2 linked regions of the Pelodiscus sinensis genome follow. Each later gene encodes a partner of the first gene's protein in a complex. Links are inferred from orthologs where the notes say so. Each region holds a gene or a part of one and is shown on either strand. Other genes may lie near its edges.

Region 1 (7,784 bases):
GCATTTTAGAAGTGTTAACATAGTATTTTGAGGCACAAGTCTCTTCAGTTGCAGTAATTGTACAATTAAAATGTGTTAAAAATCTGTCTCTTCACATGATCTCCTAAAGAAACAGTATAATTGACAGTTTCAGTGACATTTCTACAGATTAGCAAGAAAACTGAATTGATCACATGCTGATAATTTTAACTGCAATTTTTTAAGGAGACCTAAGTTGACAGAACATTCAAAAAGTAACTGGTATGGTGACTCACAGCAGATGCTTTTAATATCTTGAGCATAATTTATAATAATGATCAAAAGAATAATAGTGCACACTTCAAAGTAAAGTGGGTCAAGAAGGAAACTGAGCAGTAATACAAGGAGATATAAGAATGATCAGAGAAGCACTATGGGACATGACTAACTCCATGAATATCCGATGGGAATTTAAAAACAAATTCTGCGGCACCTCAGAGACTAACAAAAATATATTGGATCATGAGCTTTCGACTTCATCAGATGAGTTAGAATGAAAATAACAGAATCAGAGCAGTTAGTCAATTGTAGGACCTATGAGAATGTTAATAGGAATTTAGGTCATGATATTTTGTTTTAAAAAGATGGGTCAAAACATAGAACATGTCGTAATACAGCACTAATATACTACAGCACTGATCTTAGATCCATAGTCTCTGTCCAAAAGTCTCTAGGTGTTTGTAGAGCACACCACAATTTGATCCCAATCGTGATTCGAGTCTTTGAATGTTACTACAATCCAAATAATAATTTCAACATGCTTGATAAGAAGATTAGTGTCTATGTCAGATCTGCAAGAGCCCTGAAGTAACAAAGGGGACAAGACTCTTCTGTGAAACGAAATGGGAAACAAGAGCCAGAACAAGGACTCTTTGCCCAAATATTTATAATGCCACTTAGAAACCACAGTCAAGGATCAGAACCCCATCATGCTAGATACTGAACATCATGCAACAAAGAGAGTCCCTGCCACAGAGAATTTACAGTCTAGGTTTGAGGGATGGATGGAAGGGTGAGGAAACCAAAACAGTGACAAAACTGACTACTTTCCCTACCAATGCCAAAAAGAAATGATTTCTAGACATGGCAGAAGCATGTTTTAAAGAGTTTTTAAAGACAGTGCAAGGATTGTAAACAGGTTAGAAGGGAAACACAGGGAAGATAGAGACATAAGAGAACTGAGTAAGAGGTTCATTATAGCATACAGGACAAATAGAAGGTCATGACATCAGTCAAGGGATGTCTCTCACTTCCATTAACATTCTAATGGTTACCAAGTAGCTGTTAAACAGTGGCAAGCTAAGTGGCAGTGTAACACAACTAAACAAAAGGCTAAAGTCAAATCTTGAGTGTCAGCAGTGCAAATATAATAATGACAGGTTGCACCTGCAGAAGTTGGCCCAAAACTGCAGACTCTTGATCATCTGACAAACTTAAAGCAACCAGGACATTTCCAGGACACACTTTATATTGTGAATATATTATAATGCAGGTGGTCTACTTACAAGTCAAAATGTAAGAAGTCACTTTTTTATGGCTTAGGGGGCAAAAACGAACATTATAATGATTGCCCTTAGTAGCCAGAGTTAGGGGAACTCCTTCTCTTCCATCAAAAACAATAAACTGAATAATCTCAATGGAGTCAAATTGCATGCTTGGGATGGGACGGTGTTCCAGTTAGGCTAGGGACAGCATGGAAACATTTGAAACAGTAAAGGTCCTCTTTCCGGGTACATCTGACTGAATCAGGTAAGACCTTGATATTATTCAGTTAAACATCAGCTGTGTGAATTAGCCTTTCCTCAGCAGAGGTAGCAACACACACACCTATGAATCTAAATCCTTATCCCACACATTGAAAGGTACAGAGAATTTAGTCCTAACAGGTATTATGGTACCAACCATATTTATGAATTGATCGATGCATTTATTCATCAATCAAAATCAAATCACTTGTTTACTAAACACTTTATCCAGACTAGCACTAAGAGTCCCCGAAAATACTTTCTGGTCTACAGAGCAACATGCAGTTTCCCCACTATGAAAGTCAGTACGAGTCACCTTCCAACCTAGCAGTGACCCGAGAAAAGATTGTGCGGCTCAAGCAAAATTCAAAGTAGTTTTGTCCAGCCTCTTGCCCCCTAACGCTGAAGTTACGAGCCGCTATAGCCTATGCAGTGGAGAGAGCTCCCTCCGCAAAGAGAAGTGGTTTGGGGGGAATCAATGTAAACGTGCACCCAGCGCTGGGGGCTGTTACACATCTTGGTCAGGAGGCCTCTTTGGTCTGCGCCACTGGCAACTGCAGCAACAGAGGCTGAGCACACGCACCCCCCAGCCCTCTCCCGGGCCAGCCGTCGGGGGGGTCCAAGGAGCCAGTGCTCGTTAGCATCAGGCTCTTTGTGCTCCGGCGCTGCCCCTGCCCTGCGCGGCGGAGCAAACGCCTCTCGCCCTGCACCTGCCTGGCTGCCCCGACAGGCAGCGCGGGCGCGTCCAACCGGTCCGGCCTCATACCTGTCCCGCGGGTCGATCCAGCTGGTGCTTTGGCTGGTGTGGTCGATGTAATAGACTTTCCCGTCGAAGTCCCGGGCCTCCTCCCAGCCCGCTGGCAGAGGCAGCTCCTTCCTTGGCATCTTCTCCAGGCCGGCCTGAGCCGCCCCATGCAGCGCCCAGCCCCGCGCCTGGCGCCGGCAGGAGCAGCCGGGCTGGGGGGCGGCCCCCCCTTGCAAGGCCCGGGGCCTGGGGCAGCGGCGACCCGCCCAGGCGCTGCGAGGAGGACGCGGCGGGAGTCACATCCTACGCCCGGGGGAGCCGGAGATCCCGGCGCGGGCTCCCCTCACGCCTCCATTTCCAGCGCGGCTCCGGCCGCTCGGGGGTGGCTCCGCTCCTGCCGCTCCCGGCCCAGCCTGGCACCGCCGCGGCGGGGCGGGGGGTGTTGCTCCGCCCCGGCCCGAGCGCCCGGCCCGCCCCCAGGTGCTCCGGCGCGGCAGGTACCGGCGCGGCGGCCGCTGCTCCTGTAAACACGGGCGCACCGCAGGCAGGCGCCTCCCCATCCAGGGCACGGGGGTGGGCACAGCGCAGCCCCTCCCTCTGCCGCGCGCGGGGCTGGGCACCGGGCGGCACCTGCCCCGGACGCCGGCTGGGTCGCTCGGCGCCCCCCTGTGCCCAGCCGGGAGGGCGGGGTGGCCCCCCCCGAGCCATCTGCTCTCCCCGGCAGCGAGGGGCGGGGGCGTCTCGGGCTAGCGCGGCCCCAGGCAGAGCGGGCTAGTGGTTAGAACAGGGCACAGGTGAGGCAGGATCCCGCCCCTGACTCTGCGGAGCCTTCCCCGGGAAATTACCGGCCCCAGGTAGTCATGGCCGTGAGCTGGAGCGTGCACGGGGTTGTTTGTGGAGCCCAGCGTGGCAGCCTTAAGCAGCCACAGCCCTTACCCCAGTGCTACAGTCAACCAGTCCAGGAGGTCACCGCTCAGGCACCCCGCAGCTTGTGCTTGCTTTAGGGTGATGGGTTTCCTGGTCATTCCCTCCCACCCCATTCCTTTTATTTTTTCCAGATAGAAAGCTTTGGGTGGCATATTAAAATGGCTGGATTTAGCCAGTGTGCTCAGAGGAGACCCAAGGGCCGGGATCCACCAAGGTGTTTTGTCACCTAGTTGCAATTTTGGCTCCACTGCATAAATAAACTGAACTCTTAGGTACCAAAACTCACTTGGCACCTACATTTTTAAAGTGAAAGTTCCCCTGTATTGCAGACTGGGCATCCACAGGCCTGTGCCCCAGAGCAATTAATTGGATGTAGGGCTTGATCCAGCTGACAAGCTCAGAAGCCACCTACTGAATTGAGTCCATTCAAAATTCGGAGGGGTGGAGGGGAAAACAAAGTGATACCCAGCTTGTACTTTTAGCCCAGTGATTAAAGCAATTACCTGCAAGGTGGGAGACAGGGTCAATATCCCCCCATCCCAGAGGGGGAAGGATTCAAAATGGATCTCACATCCCAGGAAAATGCTCTAACCATTGGGCTAAGAGGGTGAGGAGTGCACTACTACCTCTCCTTCCATTTTGTGTGGAGTGAGGCAGGGGCACACTCATTTCCTCTAGCAGCATCAGTGGTACCATATAAGGTGACCATATTTCCCTATGTTGGATAAGGGACACCTGGTAAAATTACTCATATTCAAGTGAGGTCAGTGGCAAGCAGAACTATGCAGTACACACGTTCAAATTAACATCAAGTTGACTGCACTCCTATGAAAAAGAAATGCTGTGTGGCTGGAATCTTTTTATTTACCTCCTTATCTGTAAGGTTTGACTGTGACACACACAGTCCCGTAACCTCTCTGACACAGACATCCTTCCCCTTTATTCGGCTTTGGTGAGGCCGCATCTAGAGTATTATATCCAGTTCTGGGCCCCCCACTACAAAAAGGATGTGGACGCATTGGAGAGGGTCCAGCGGAGGGCAACCAAAATGATTAGGGGGCTGGAGCATATGACTTATGATGAGAGGCTGAGGGACTTGGGTCTGTTTAGTCTGCAGAAGCGAAGAGTGAGGGGAGATTTGATAGCAGCCTTCAACTTCCTGAAGGGAGCTTCCAAAGAGGATGGAGAGAGGCTGTTCTCAGTAGTGACAGATGGCAGAACAAGGAGCAATGGTCTCAAGTTGTGGTGGAAGAGGTCCAGGTTGGATATTAAGAAAAACTATTTCACTAGGAGGGTGGTGAAGCACTGGAATGGGTTATCTAGGGAAGTAGTGGAGTCTCCATCCCTAGAGGTGTTTAAGTCTCGGCTTGACAAAGCCCTGGCCGGGTTGATTTAGTTGGAATTGGTCCTGCCTAGAGCAGGGGGCTGGACTTGATGACCTTCTGAGGTCTCTTCCAGCTCTATGATTCTATGATTCACAGGGATAGGGGTGAGTAACCAGCCTGATGCAAGCCTCCCTGCACAGTACTGTATACACTGGCTGGGCTGCCAGGATGGATCCACCTCTTTTCAAGGCAACATGTGGGAGGGGGGGGGGGAAGGAAATGAAGGGTCACAGGCCCCTCCCCAAACCTCTGTCACAGTTCACACCAGTAGCAGCCTTTCATCCCTGTGCAGGAGGGAATGAATGGGAGCTGCTTCCAGCTGAAGGGAAATGGGGAGGGAAGACAGGGATGACCTGGCCCATGTTTTTTCACAGGTCATCTCCCCCCCACACACTGCTTCTCTGTGGCTAGAAGCAGCTTGTGCCTTCCTGCCAGCATAGTGCAGAAAGGCAGTTCACACCTCTAAACTGCCACTGGCCACCTACATAACCCAGTCACCTCCTGTCCCCTGGTTACAGTTCTGGCAGGAAGGAGTTAAGCCCTAAGGATGTATTGAGCATCAAAGCATAGGGAACCTGACTGCAGGGCTTCCCTGAACTGGGCCAGAGAGGTGGCTCAGCACAGGGTGTCTAGGGTAAGAGCAGGTACGAGGTGTGGAACGAGGTGTACAGCTAGTTCGGATTAGGAAGCCTAATCCGAACTAGCTAGTCCGTGCGTGTAGCCGCGTGGCACGGGGTCCGAACTAGCCGGCATTTAAAAATGGCGCCGGCCGGCTTTATGCAAATGAAGCCTGGGAAATTCAAATCCCGGGTTTCATTTGCAACTCCGTATGACTACATTACCCCCCTTAGTTTGAACTAGGGGGGTAGTGTAGACATACTCTAAGTTATTATGAAATAGCGCTAGTTATTTTGAAATAGTGTTGCAGTATAGACTTTAAGTATTGTAGCGGGGGTGGCAAGACACATACATTTTTCTTTTCCTTTGTAGAGCAGACATCACCTTCTACCAGGCTTGCCTGTAATATCTGTTCCCCTTGATTGGCTGCATCCTCTGGGTCCTACCTACTCTACCGTTTCATTTGATGAGGCAAAACTGGGGCATGAGGAAACATTAATCAGGAGAGAGCCCTTTGGGCTCTTGAAAGGTTCATATTACCCATAACAGACGGTAAATAAGTCACTATTATTTCTTTTGCTGATGACAGAAAAACAAGGAGACATTCAATGAATTTAAAGACAGTGAATTTTAAAACTGATAAAAGGAAATATAGGTTTATTAAATACACAAAGGCTACGTCTACACTGGCCCCTTTTCCGGAAGGGGCATGTAAATTTCACCAGTCGTCGTAGGGAAATCCGCGGGGGATTTAAATATCCCCCGCGGCATTTAAATAAAAAGTAGGAATAAGAGCCTCCGGAAAAGTAGGAAGTAGGAATAAGAGCCTCCGGAAAAGTAGGAAGTAGGAATAAGAGCCTCCGGAAAAGGGCGCTTTTTCCGGAGGATCGGGGCCAGTGTAGACGCTCTTTTCCGGCTTTTTTTTTAAAAGCCGGAAAAAAGCGGCGGACATTTTTATTTAAATGCCGCGGGGGATATTTAAATCCCCCGCGGATTTCCCTACGACGACTGGTGAAATTTACATGCCCCTTCCGGAAAAGGGGCCAGTGTAGACGTAGCCAAAGTGTGTTTAACCTGCAGAACTCATTGCCACTGGATATCACTGAGGCCAAAGCTTTTAGTAAAAAGGCCTCTATTTGTAGATAATGAGAGCACCACCATTAAAAAAGAATTTAAAAGTGAACTTTAAAGGGGATAGACAGGCAGAGCTCCAAGGCATAAACTCCCTACTGATTAAAATGAGTGAGAATGACGGTTCCATAATAATCCATATTTGGATATTCAATTATTGTTCACTGTTGAGTTTCTTACAACTTCCTGTGAAGCATCTAGGATTGGCGTCAGAGCATCAGAGAAAGGCTATTGGATCGGACGGTCCCCTTGATTGATCCAGAACAGGAATGCTTGTGTCCCTATGTTAAACTACTATTCACTCCATTAGCGAATGATCAAACTTGTTTACAGAAGTGCAGTCCACTAGACAGGATCTTGGAGAGGGAGTCAGGTGGTATGGGCTTTGTCCGCCATTCTGCCACTGATTTGTTATGGGCTAATGCTTCAGTTAATCATTTTTAGATTGGGTATAGCAGTACTCATCTCGCTTTGCAATCCACATTGAGATCTATATATAGATGAAAAGTGCTATAAGAGAGTTAGGTAATATAGCAGAAAACAATCAGCAGCAATTAAAAATTGCATTGAAGGATGAGAAAAAAGAACAAGGAGATTAATGAGCTCAAAATACATGTGTATTCAAATAGGATAGTGTTCTCTAGTAATGCACACTATCAAGTTGTATTTATGCCTTTGATGTGTTGTTTAAAAAAAAATATTTCTAAAAAAATATTTCTAGACATATTCAACTTCCAGTGAAAACCCTTTATTATTCCATTGTTTTTAAATAAAAAAATTCCTGACTGTTCATTAAAATGCATGCATGTACGTAGGCAGGCATTTATTGCATTGTAACTCTTCCCCTTTTACCACTTTTACTCATAACAAAGGAATTCAGTGTTATCAAAATCTGTTTGAAGTATGAAGTCATGGATAAACAGGTGACTATTGCCACACAAGCAAACAAAATGATTCATAGGTAAGTTCTTTCCATACGTAAAAGGAAGGGCTCTGTGTAGGACAGGCCAAGGAACAAGGCTCCCTGTCTCGGTGCTATCCAGTGCCACTCCATTGATTATTGCTATACCATCAGTGTACCTAGAAACCCAATTGTGCCAGACCGTGTAGCTTTGTATAGTCCATTTTAATAGACTATCTTGGAAATTATTAGATAACAGCATCTATTTTAATACTATGATCTCTTTAATATGGTAAAGAGTACGTTGCTGGCCA
Region 2 (7,689 bases), on another chromosome or scaffold:
GCGCTGCCCGGCCCCGCTTTGCAGCCGGTGGCTTGGGGGTGGTGCGGGGCCGCTTGGTGGGGAGGGTGCGGTGGGGCGCGTCGTAGGCGGGCGGCGAGATGTAGGGTGGGGGCCGCAGTTCGTTGGGCTTGCGGCTGCTCTGCTCCACCCGGAGCCGCCTCAGCATGTGGGTCTCGTAGCTGGGGGGCCCAGCCGGGAGTGGCCCCCTGGTGTCCCCTGCCAGCCGCCGCCTGCCTGGCATGCCTTTCAATGCCGCTTCCCCCAGTCTCTCCGGGGGAGCTGACCAGCCTAGGCCCCTCCCGCCCACAGAGCCGCTGCGGGGCTTTCTCTCCTGGGGGGCGGCCTGGTGCCCTCCTGCTGCTCTGCCCAGCAGCCGCAGGCTCCGGGGGTCACAGCCAGAAGGCGGCTGGGGCTGGGGAGGTGCCTTGCTCCACATGGGGTCCTGGCGCTCGCAGGGCCTCGGGGACCGGGCTGGCCACAGCTCCGCTGCGAACCGCTTCTCCAGGCATCTGCGGGGCAGAGACAGCCGCTCAGGGGATACATCCACACCACCCACTGGCAGCCCGGCTGCAAGGGGGGCTACGGAGAGGCCACTGTGGGGGCAGGGATCCTGCTAACTGGGGCGCCACGCAAGGGTGGAACATGGGTGACCCTGGCACCACCCCCGCCCAGCCTGGCAGACGCCCTGGGGCTTTCCTGGCCCACGGGGCGAGTGGAGGTGCCCTGGCTGAGTCTGTGAAGGGTCTGTAGCGGTCAGGCAAAAGGAAGCGTTGGCCAGCAGTGCAAGGGGGCACCCTGTGTGGCAGGATGTCGGGGAAAGTGGAGATGCAGCCCGACCCACAGCCCCATCCTACCTGAGTCCTGGGCTCCCCCCAGCTATGTCAGTGTCCCCCACTCCTAACTCACAGCCCCAGCTAGACCAGCTCTGGGCTCCCCCCAGCCCTGCCGGTACCCCTCACTCCCGCTCACCCAGTCCTGGGCGCCCCCAGCCCTGCCGGGACCCCTCACCCCTGCCCCGCAGCCCCTGCCAGCCTGGCCCTGCCGGTACCCCTCACCCCCGCTCACCCAGTCCTGGGCGCCCCCAGCCCTGCCAGTACCCCTCACCCGTGCCCCGCAGCCCCTGCCAGCCTGGCCCTGCTGGTACCCCTCAGCCCCGCCCACCCAGTCCTGGCCGCCCCCAGCCCTGCCAGTACCCCTCACCCCTGCCCCGCAGCCCCTGCCAGCCTGGCCCTGCCGGTACCCCTCACCCCCGCCCCACAGCCCCTGCCAGCCCAGTCCTGGGCTCTCCCAACCCTGCTGGTGCCCCTCAGTCACGACCTGCAGCCCCTGCCAGCCCGGCCCTGGGCGCCCCCAGCCCTGCCGGTGCCCCCCCCACTTCCCACCAGGCAAGCATAGGGAAAAGCTTTGCAACATGGTGCCCTCCGCCCCCGCCAGGATGACTGATCTAGCGAGACAGGCCCTGACTCACGCGTACTCCCCCGAGATGCTCCGGTAGATCCAGGGGGTGCCGGGGGCCTGAACAGGCCAGTGCCCTGGGTCCATGGTGCTTCCCTGGCTGCAACAAGAAACTGTGTTAATCTCGAGCACCAGGAGGTCCGTCCGCTTGCAGATCTGCAGGCGCCCAGGGCCTGGTCCCCGCTGCTGCCCGGGGCCCCCCAGCGCCGAGCAGCCCAGCATGGTGCCAGGGGACTTGCTTGTCCGGTCGCAGGGAGCCGGGCGTGCCCACGAGGCAGAGCTGCAAGGAGAGGGAGGGATGGGGGCTGCCTGTGCCCACGGGCTGCTGGTGAGCCTGGGAGCTGAGCGCCAGGGCTGTGTCGGCAAGAGGAGCAGCTCTTTGTGCGGGCGGGTGAGTGCCAGCCTGCCAGCAGCCGGAACAGAGCGTGCACACGGGGAGACAGGCACACGGCACGCAGCGTGCGCACACCCCCGCCCCTCCCCGTGCAGACACACAGCCCTCCAGCAGGGCCTGCAACCCGGCATCAGCCAGGACGCCTGGCACGGCCCCTTCTCCCTCTGCCCTGCAGGCGCCCCGACCCTGAGCTGCCCCCACGTACCTGCCAACAGGCACCTGCTGCAAGCCCAGCCGGGCAGAGCTCAGCGCGTTGATGCGGATGCCTCTACAAGGGACAGTTACCTGCGGCCTGTGACAGCCTCTGGAAGGGGCCCCGCAGACAGGACCCCCAGCCCTGCCGGCACCACATCCCCCCAGCCTGCTGATGGAGGGGGGGGGGGCACTCAGAGGCAAGCCTGCCTAGTGGTTAGAGCCAGGTTCTATTCCCGGCTCTGGGAGGGGGCAGGGGGCTGGGACGCCTCCCTCGGCTAGGGCCAGCACCGCCTGTGCATGGAGGCTGGGAGCTGAGCCTGCCATGGGGGAGTGGCGGCATAAACACCCGGGGGAGGTCGGGGCTCAGACCCACCCCAGGCCTTGCACAGGGACCCCCCCACATCGCCCCAAGAGATGCAACAATCACACAAATTATAAGGTTTGGCACAACGTGCTGCAGCCCACGCGGGCTCGGAGCGAAACCTAGCAACGAGGCGCCGGCATGGCAACCGTCCCGGAGCTGGGCTCCAGCAAGGGATGCACCGAGGGGGCTGGGGGTTGTGCCTCTGGGTAAAGCCGCGGCGCGGGGGCAGGGAGGGGGCAGGGCGGGGCTCTGACCGGCCCCTGCTCAGCACAGCGGCCAGAGCGCCCAGGTGAGCGGGTCGGCTCAGGGCTCCCTCCTGGGCCAGAGCAGGATCTGGGCCCCAGGGCACAGAGGTGCCAGGCTGGGCCTAGTTCTGGAGACGAGGTTGTACCCAAGTAGGGAGCCCCCTGCGCCCATCCCAGCAGCGGCCCCGTGTGCATCACGCCCCGGGCTGGATCAGAGCCGGCACCCTGGGGCGCCCCGGGCACCCTACCTGGCCTTGACGCCAACCCCGGCTGGGTTGCAGGGCCCTGGAGCCGGGCCCTTCGCACTGACGAGCAGGCGGCTCCGGGCCGTGCTCTTAGGCAGCCCCCCGGAGCCTCCCACCCGGCAGGGAATGTGCCTCGCTCAGCACCGCCCGGGGAGGCGCCAGGGCTGTCGGCGCCATGCCAACGGCGGGGGAGCCGGGGACGGAGATGCCAGAGGACTTGGGGGGATCGAAAGCCCCCCCCTGCCTTGAGACCCGTGTTCTCAGCAGGCCTGTTAGCGGCGCTGCCCGGCTTGGCGCTCACTGGAGCTGCAGACCCCTGACCCGCCTCAGCCAGCTGGGTCAGCCCCCCTCGGGAGCTGCAACCCGAGCCTGGCACCCCCCTGCACCCAGCCCCCACCCCAACACCTCCCCCTCTACCCATCAGCCTGCTCCCAGCCCCACCACCCTGCAGTCTGTACCTCACCCCCTGGTGAACCCCACCCTGCAGCCCGGACCCATCACCTGCCCTCCCCACCCCCCTGCAGCCTGTGCCTGGCACTTACCCCCCCACACTCATTCCCTGACTCCCCTCCCACAGCCTGTATCCATCACCTCCCCCCTGCAGTCTGTGCCTGCTACACCCCCCACGCCCTGCAGCCACTCCCTGACCCCCCCCCACACACCCTGCATCGTCCTGCCCTCCACAAGCAGCTAATTAGTTCGTTCTGCTCCCAGCCTTGCCCATCCCCCACCCAGTCGACAGGAGGGTCCAGTCTGGAGGGAGTGGGGGAGACTGGCAGTTGCTGCCCTGGGTGTTGGGGGAGGCGTGGGGGGGAACTGGCCCAGGAGCGGGGTTGCTGGGCCCCAAGGAGGCTCGTGTGAGCAGAGGGACCTAGGTGTCCTGAGCACGAGCCAGGCACTTACCTCCAGCTCATGTTTCTGCCCAAGTGCCCTGGGCCTGCTCTAACCACTAGCTCATGCTCCCTCCCTGCAGCCACCCTCAGCCCCTGATGCCCTGGCCACTTCTCTCCGCCCAGCCGGAGGCTCCCTGCTGAGACAGGGGGATCAGGAGCTGCTGGAGCCCGGCTCTAGCCCCCGCGCCTGGGGGAGGGGTCCGGCAGCCGCTCTGGCTTCCAGCCTTTTTAGAAAACCCACGGGTGGAACAAACAGGGATTTACCGGCTGGACAGTGGCGCAGGCTCAGCAGCGTCCTGTCCCAGGGATGGTTACATGGAGGGGCAGGGAGGAAAGCAAACCCCCCCCCCCCGCCCCCTGCTGGCTGACCCACAGGGCTGGGCCAGAAGGGGCTGCAGCGGAGCTGGGGAGCGGGCACAGGCCAAGCTGGGGAGAGCCTCCTTGGGGGCTGCAGGATTCTGTTCCGCTCCATACAGGGACTTACTCCTCCCGTTCTCAGCTCCCTGCTACCTGAGCACTAGGCCACGTGCCCCCCAGCTGGGCTGGGGGTCTCGCCCGCCCGGGGAGGCAGCACAGACGTGCAGGGCAGGGGCTGTGGGGGTAGGGCTAGGAACCTGCCCCGCCCTGACAGGGACCTCCACCCAGAGCGGGGGATTTCCCTCCCGGACCCAAACAGTCCCCAGGCGGCTGAAGCCCATTGCAGGTCCTGGCTCCAGTGGCCCCGGAGAACCATCGATCCCTGGAGTTGTCGCACCCCCCCAGCTACGCCGCGTCCACGTGAACAGCCTCTGGCCAGTAACCGCTCCTAGACACAGGGCCTGGTTTTTATTAGACTTGCAATAAATGAACAGTGATGGGTGCAGCGGGGGCCGGGGCGGGGGCCCAGACACAAGCCCCTAGACGCTCCTCGCCCCAGAATCCCCACAAGCACTAGCCCAGACCCGCCAACGCCAGGCGGGATGGGTTCCAAACCTGGGCCCGCGAGGAAGAGAGGGAGCCAGGCCCCGGCCCACACCGAGCCAGCTCCGGAGACAGGCTACAAAAATGGTGCTCAGTAAAAACCGCGGGCGCACTCTCTGGGGAAGGTCGTGGCAGATGCCCAGGGGCACCGGCCATGCAGTGCTGCAGGGCAGGAGCTGGCTGAGGACCCACACTGGGGCCGGGAGGAAATAAGGAAACGGATCCAGTTCCCAGATGGGAACGTCGAGGGTCCCGGAGTGCAGAAATGGGAACAGGCCTGGTGCTGGGGGGCAGCTGATCGCAGAGGCTTTCCCTGGCCAGGCAGGAGGGGCTGGCAGCACCACCACCGGGTGCCCGGCCAGGCTCCACCCAGGCGAACGCCCACATGGTGCTGGAAAGGGCTGGGCCCGGCCCTGCCCCATGCCCCGTGGAGGGAGCAACCAAGCCTGCCCCGGAGAAGGGGCTGAGTTTATTGCTGGTTGTTGGCTGGCATGACGCCCCCCCTCCCGCTGGCTGGGGGAGAGGGGGAAGGAGGCAGGCATGATGCTGGTGGAGCCGTGGCAGAGCCAGCAGGTGATGCATGGCTGGGTGGGGGGGCCTGGCCTCCTTGGTCCCTGTTACTCAGGCCCCCACTTCAGCAAGAGTCTCTCTGCAGGCAGCACGGGGCCGCCCTCAGGGCCGGGGGCCTCCCGGGAGCACCAGCGCCTGCAGGATGTCCGAGAGCGAGATGATGCCCTTCACCACTTCCCTCTCGTCCACCACCACCAGCCTGTGGACCTGCGCAGACAGACAGACGGACGGACGTCAGACGGGGCGCTGCAGCCCACGGCTCCCTCCCACGGCAGTGCAGACCCAGAGGCCGGCCGCCCAGCACGGACGCTGCCTTGGGACAGGAAGTGCAGGGAGGAGGCGCTGGGGGCAAACGGGGGACTGGCTAGGACAGTGCAGCTAATGCCACACCCAGCCAGGCCCTCCCCCGGGCTCCCATCCAAGCTGCTGGGCTGTGTCCCTCCCCAGGAGTTACAGGAGGGGCCCTGCGGGCCACGGGGACCCCAGGGGAAAGGAAGGGCCATGAAGGGTCCCAGGGTGGGGGGAGGTTACCTCGGCCTCCACCAGCCGGTTGATGATGGTCTCCAGGGTCTCGTGTCGGTAGCAGGTGCGGACGCCCTCGAAGTACTGCGAGCGATGCCTCAGCGCCTGCGTCACCGTCACGTCCAGGTTGTTGTAGGTCTTCTCGGCCGCCAGGTTCTGGGGGCGGGGCTGGGGGTGAGCCAGGGCAGGGCAAAACCTGCCTGCTCCCCTCACTCTGCCCCACAGAGACCGCGGCACCCCCCCACCCCGTTCCACTGGCCCGTGCAGGCAAGGTGCCCCGAAGGCCCCCCCCAGCCTGCAATCCCTCCTTGTCCCAGCACCCGGCACCCCCCCACCCCGTTCCACTGGCCCACGCAGGCAAGGTGCTCCAAACGCCCCCCCCTTCCCAGCACCTGGCGCCCCCCCCACCCCGTTCCACTGGCCCACGCAGGCAAGGTGCTCCAAACGCCCCCCCTTCCCAGCACCTGGCGCCCCCCCCACCCCGTTCCACTGGCCCACGCAGGCAAGGTGCTCCAAACGCCCCCCCTTCCCAGCACCTGGCGCCCCCCCCACCCCGTTCCACTGGCCCACGCAGGCAAGGTGCTCCAAACGCCCCCCCTTCCCAGCACCTGGCGCCCCCCACCCCGTTCCACTGGCCCACGCAGGCAAGGTGCTCCAAACGCCCCCCCCTTCCCAGCACCTGGCGCCCCCCCCACCCCGTTCCACTGGCCCACGCAGGCAGCGCCCCCTAAGCTCTGCATTGGGGTCAGTACCCGGCTACCCCTGGAGCTCCAGTACTTACAATGACGTCGAACTTGGAGTATATGTCAACCACCCGACCTAAGACAGAGGGGAGACACTGGTTAGATGAGCACAGGCCCCCCTCCCTGCCCCACAGTGGCTGCAGGGTGGGAATCCCTCCCCCTAGCCAGATGGGTCCGTTCCAGCCCTGCGGGCTCTCTGGGGGCTGGGCCTGGTTGTGGGAGCGCAGAGTTGGGGGGGGGGTAAGGGTGTGAAATTGTGGTTAACCAGCGAACTGTGTAGTCGATACAATTGGAGAAGGGCCGCTCTGCGGAGCCGCAGCAGGGTAGCTCTGGCAGCCCCCCGCACCGCAGCTCAGCAGATGCCGGGTCCTTCCTACATTTCAAGTGCAGCGTCCCAGGCTGGAGCGAGCTGGGACTGCTCGGTCCCGGCTCACGCTGAGTGAGCCAGCCCGGGCCGCTGCAAACAGGAGCTGCTGCCGGAGCAGCCTCCCCTCGCCCCCCCGCCCCGGCTGCCTCCGCAGCAGGCGGCACCACGGAGACAGTGCTGGGGGGAACTGGCTTTTAAGCCAGCTCCCCCCCAGCACCATCTCCCGTCCCCAGCCTTGCTGCCTCTGTATGAGAGGCAGCAAGACGGGGAGGAGCGGGGGGGAGCGCGAGTGGTCGAGTACTCCACTCGCGGATACACTCACGTTACTCCACTGCTCTGTGACATCCCTACTATGGGGCCGGGGGCTGGCTGGTGTCTGGGCCAACGTGGGCTGGGACTGACAGCAGTGCAGGTTGCTGGGGATCCAGGTGGCCAGCCGGCACCTCGACGGCGGCTCAATTCCCATGGCGGTCTCCCCACGTTGCCTGGCAGCTCCCGGGAGCCCAGACTGAGCGCCAGGAACGTGCGGGTCCATCATGAGCTTCCCGCGAGGGGCACCTGCAGCCTGAGGAGGGGAGGGACATGGAGCAGCCAGGCAGCCCAACCTGGGGAGCCACGGGAAACCGAGAGCCCTTTGCAAAGTCCTGCTGCAGAGACGGAGCAACGCTCTGGTCTGGGGGTGCGCTCAGGATCGGCATGTTCTTGGGGGGCTCTGGTTCCGCACCGGGGGTGTCTC

The links.
Region 2: the proteins of WWC1 (region 1) and DDN are in contact, whole or in part, in a crystal structure (PDB 6J69), measured with the Mus musculus proteins. The link is inferred for Pelodiscus sinensis from reciprocal best matches to the Homo sapiens genes WWC1 and DDN. Residues at the interface, in NP_740749.1 of Mus musculus: Glu13, Glu14, Ala15, Arg16, Asp17, Tyr23, Ile25, Asp26, His27, Arg30, Thr31, Thr32, Ser33, Trp34; in NP_001013763.1 of Mus musculus: Tyr227, Val228, Ala229, Pro230, Pro231, Ser232, Tyr233, His237, Arg238, Thr239.

Annotation. Positions count from the first base shown.
Region 1 is NC_134727.1:8,391,412-8,399,195, forward strand, and holds the start of WWC1 (protein KIBRA), read right to left. Parts: upstream 3,071-7,784; 5' UTR 2,649-3,070; coding exon 2,530-2,648; intron 1-2,529. UniProt on the Homo sapiens protein: Regulator of the Hippo signaling pathway, also known as the Salvador-Warts-Hippo (SWH) pathway.
Region 2 is NC_134729.1:4,988,826-4,996,514, reverse strand, and holds the start of DDN (dendrin), read right to left. Parts: upstream 3,255-7,689; 5' UTR 2,902-3,254; intron 2,472-2,901; exon of another isoform or gene 2,055-2,471; intron 1,556-2,054; 5' UTR 1,543-1,555; coding exon 1,469-1,542; intron 510-1,468; coding exon 1-509. Other genes in the region: PRKAG1 (5'-AMP-activated protein kinase subunit gamma-1), read right to left, coding at 5,424-5,528, 5,853-5,999, 6,625-6,662. UniProt on the Homo sapiens protein: Promotes apoptosis of kidney glomerular podocytes. Podocytes are highly specialized cells essential to the ultrafiltration of blood, resulting in the extraction of urine and the retention of protein.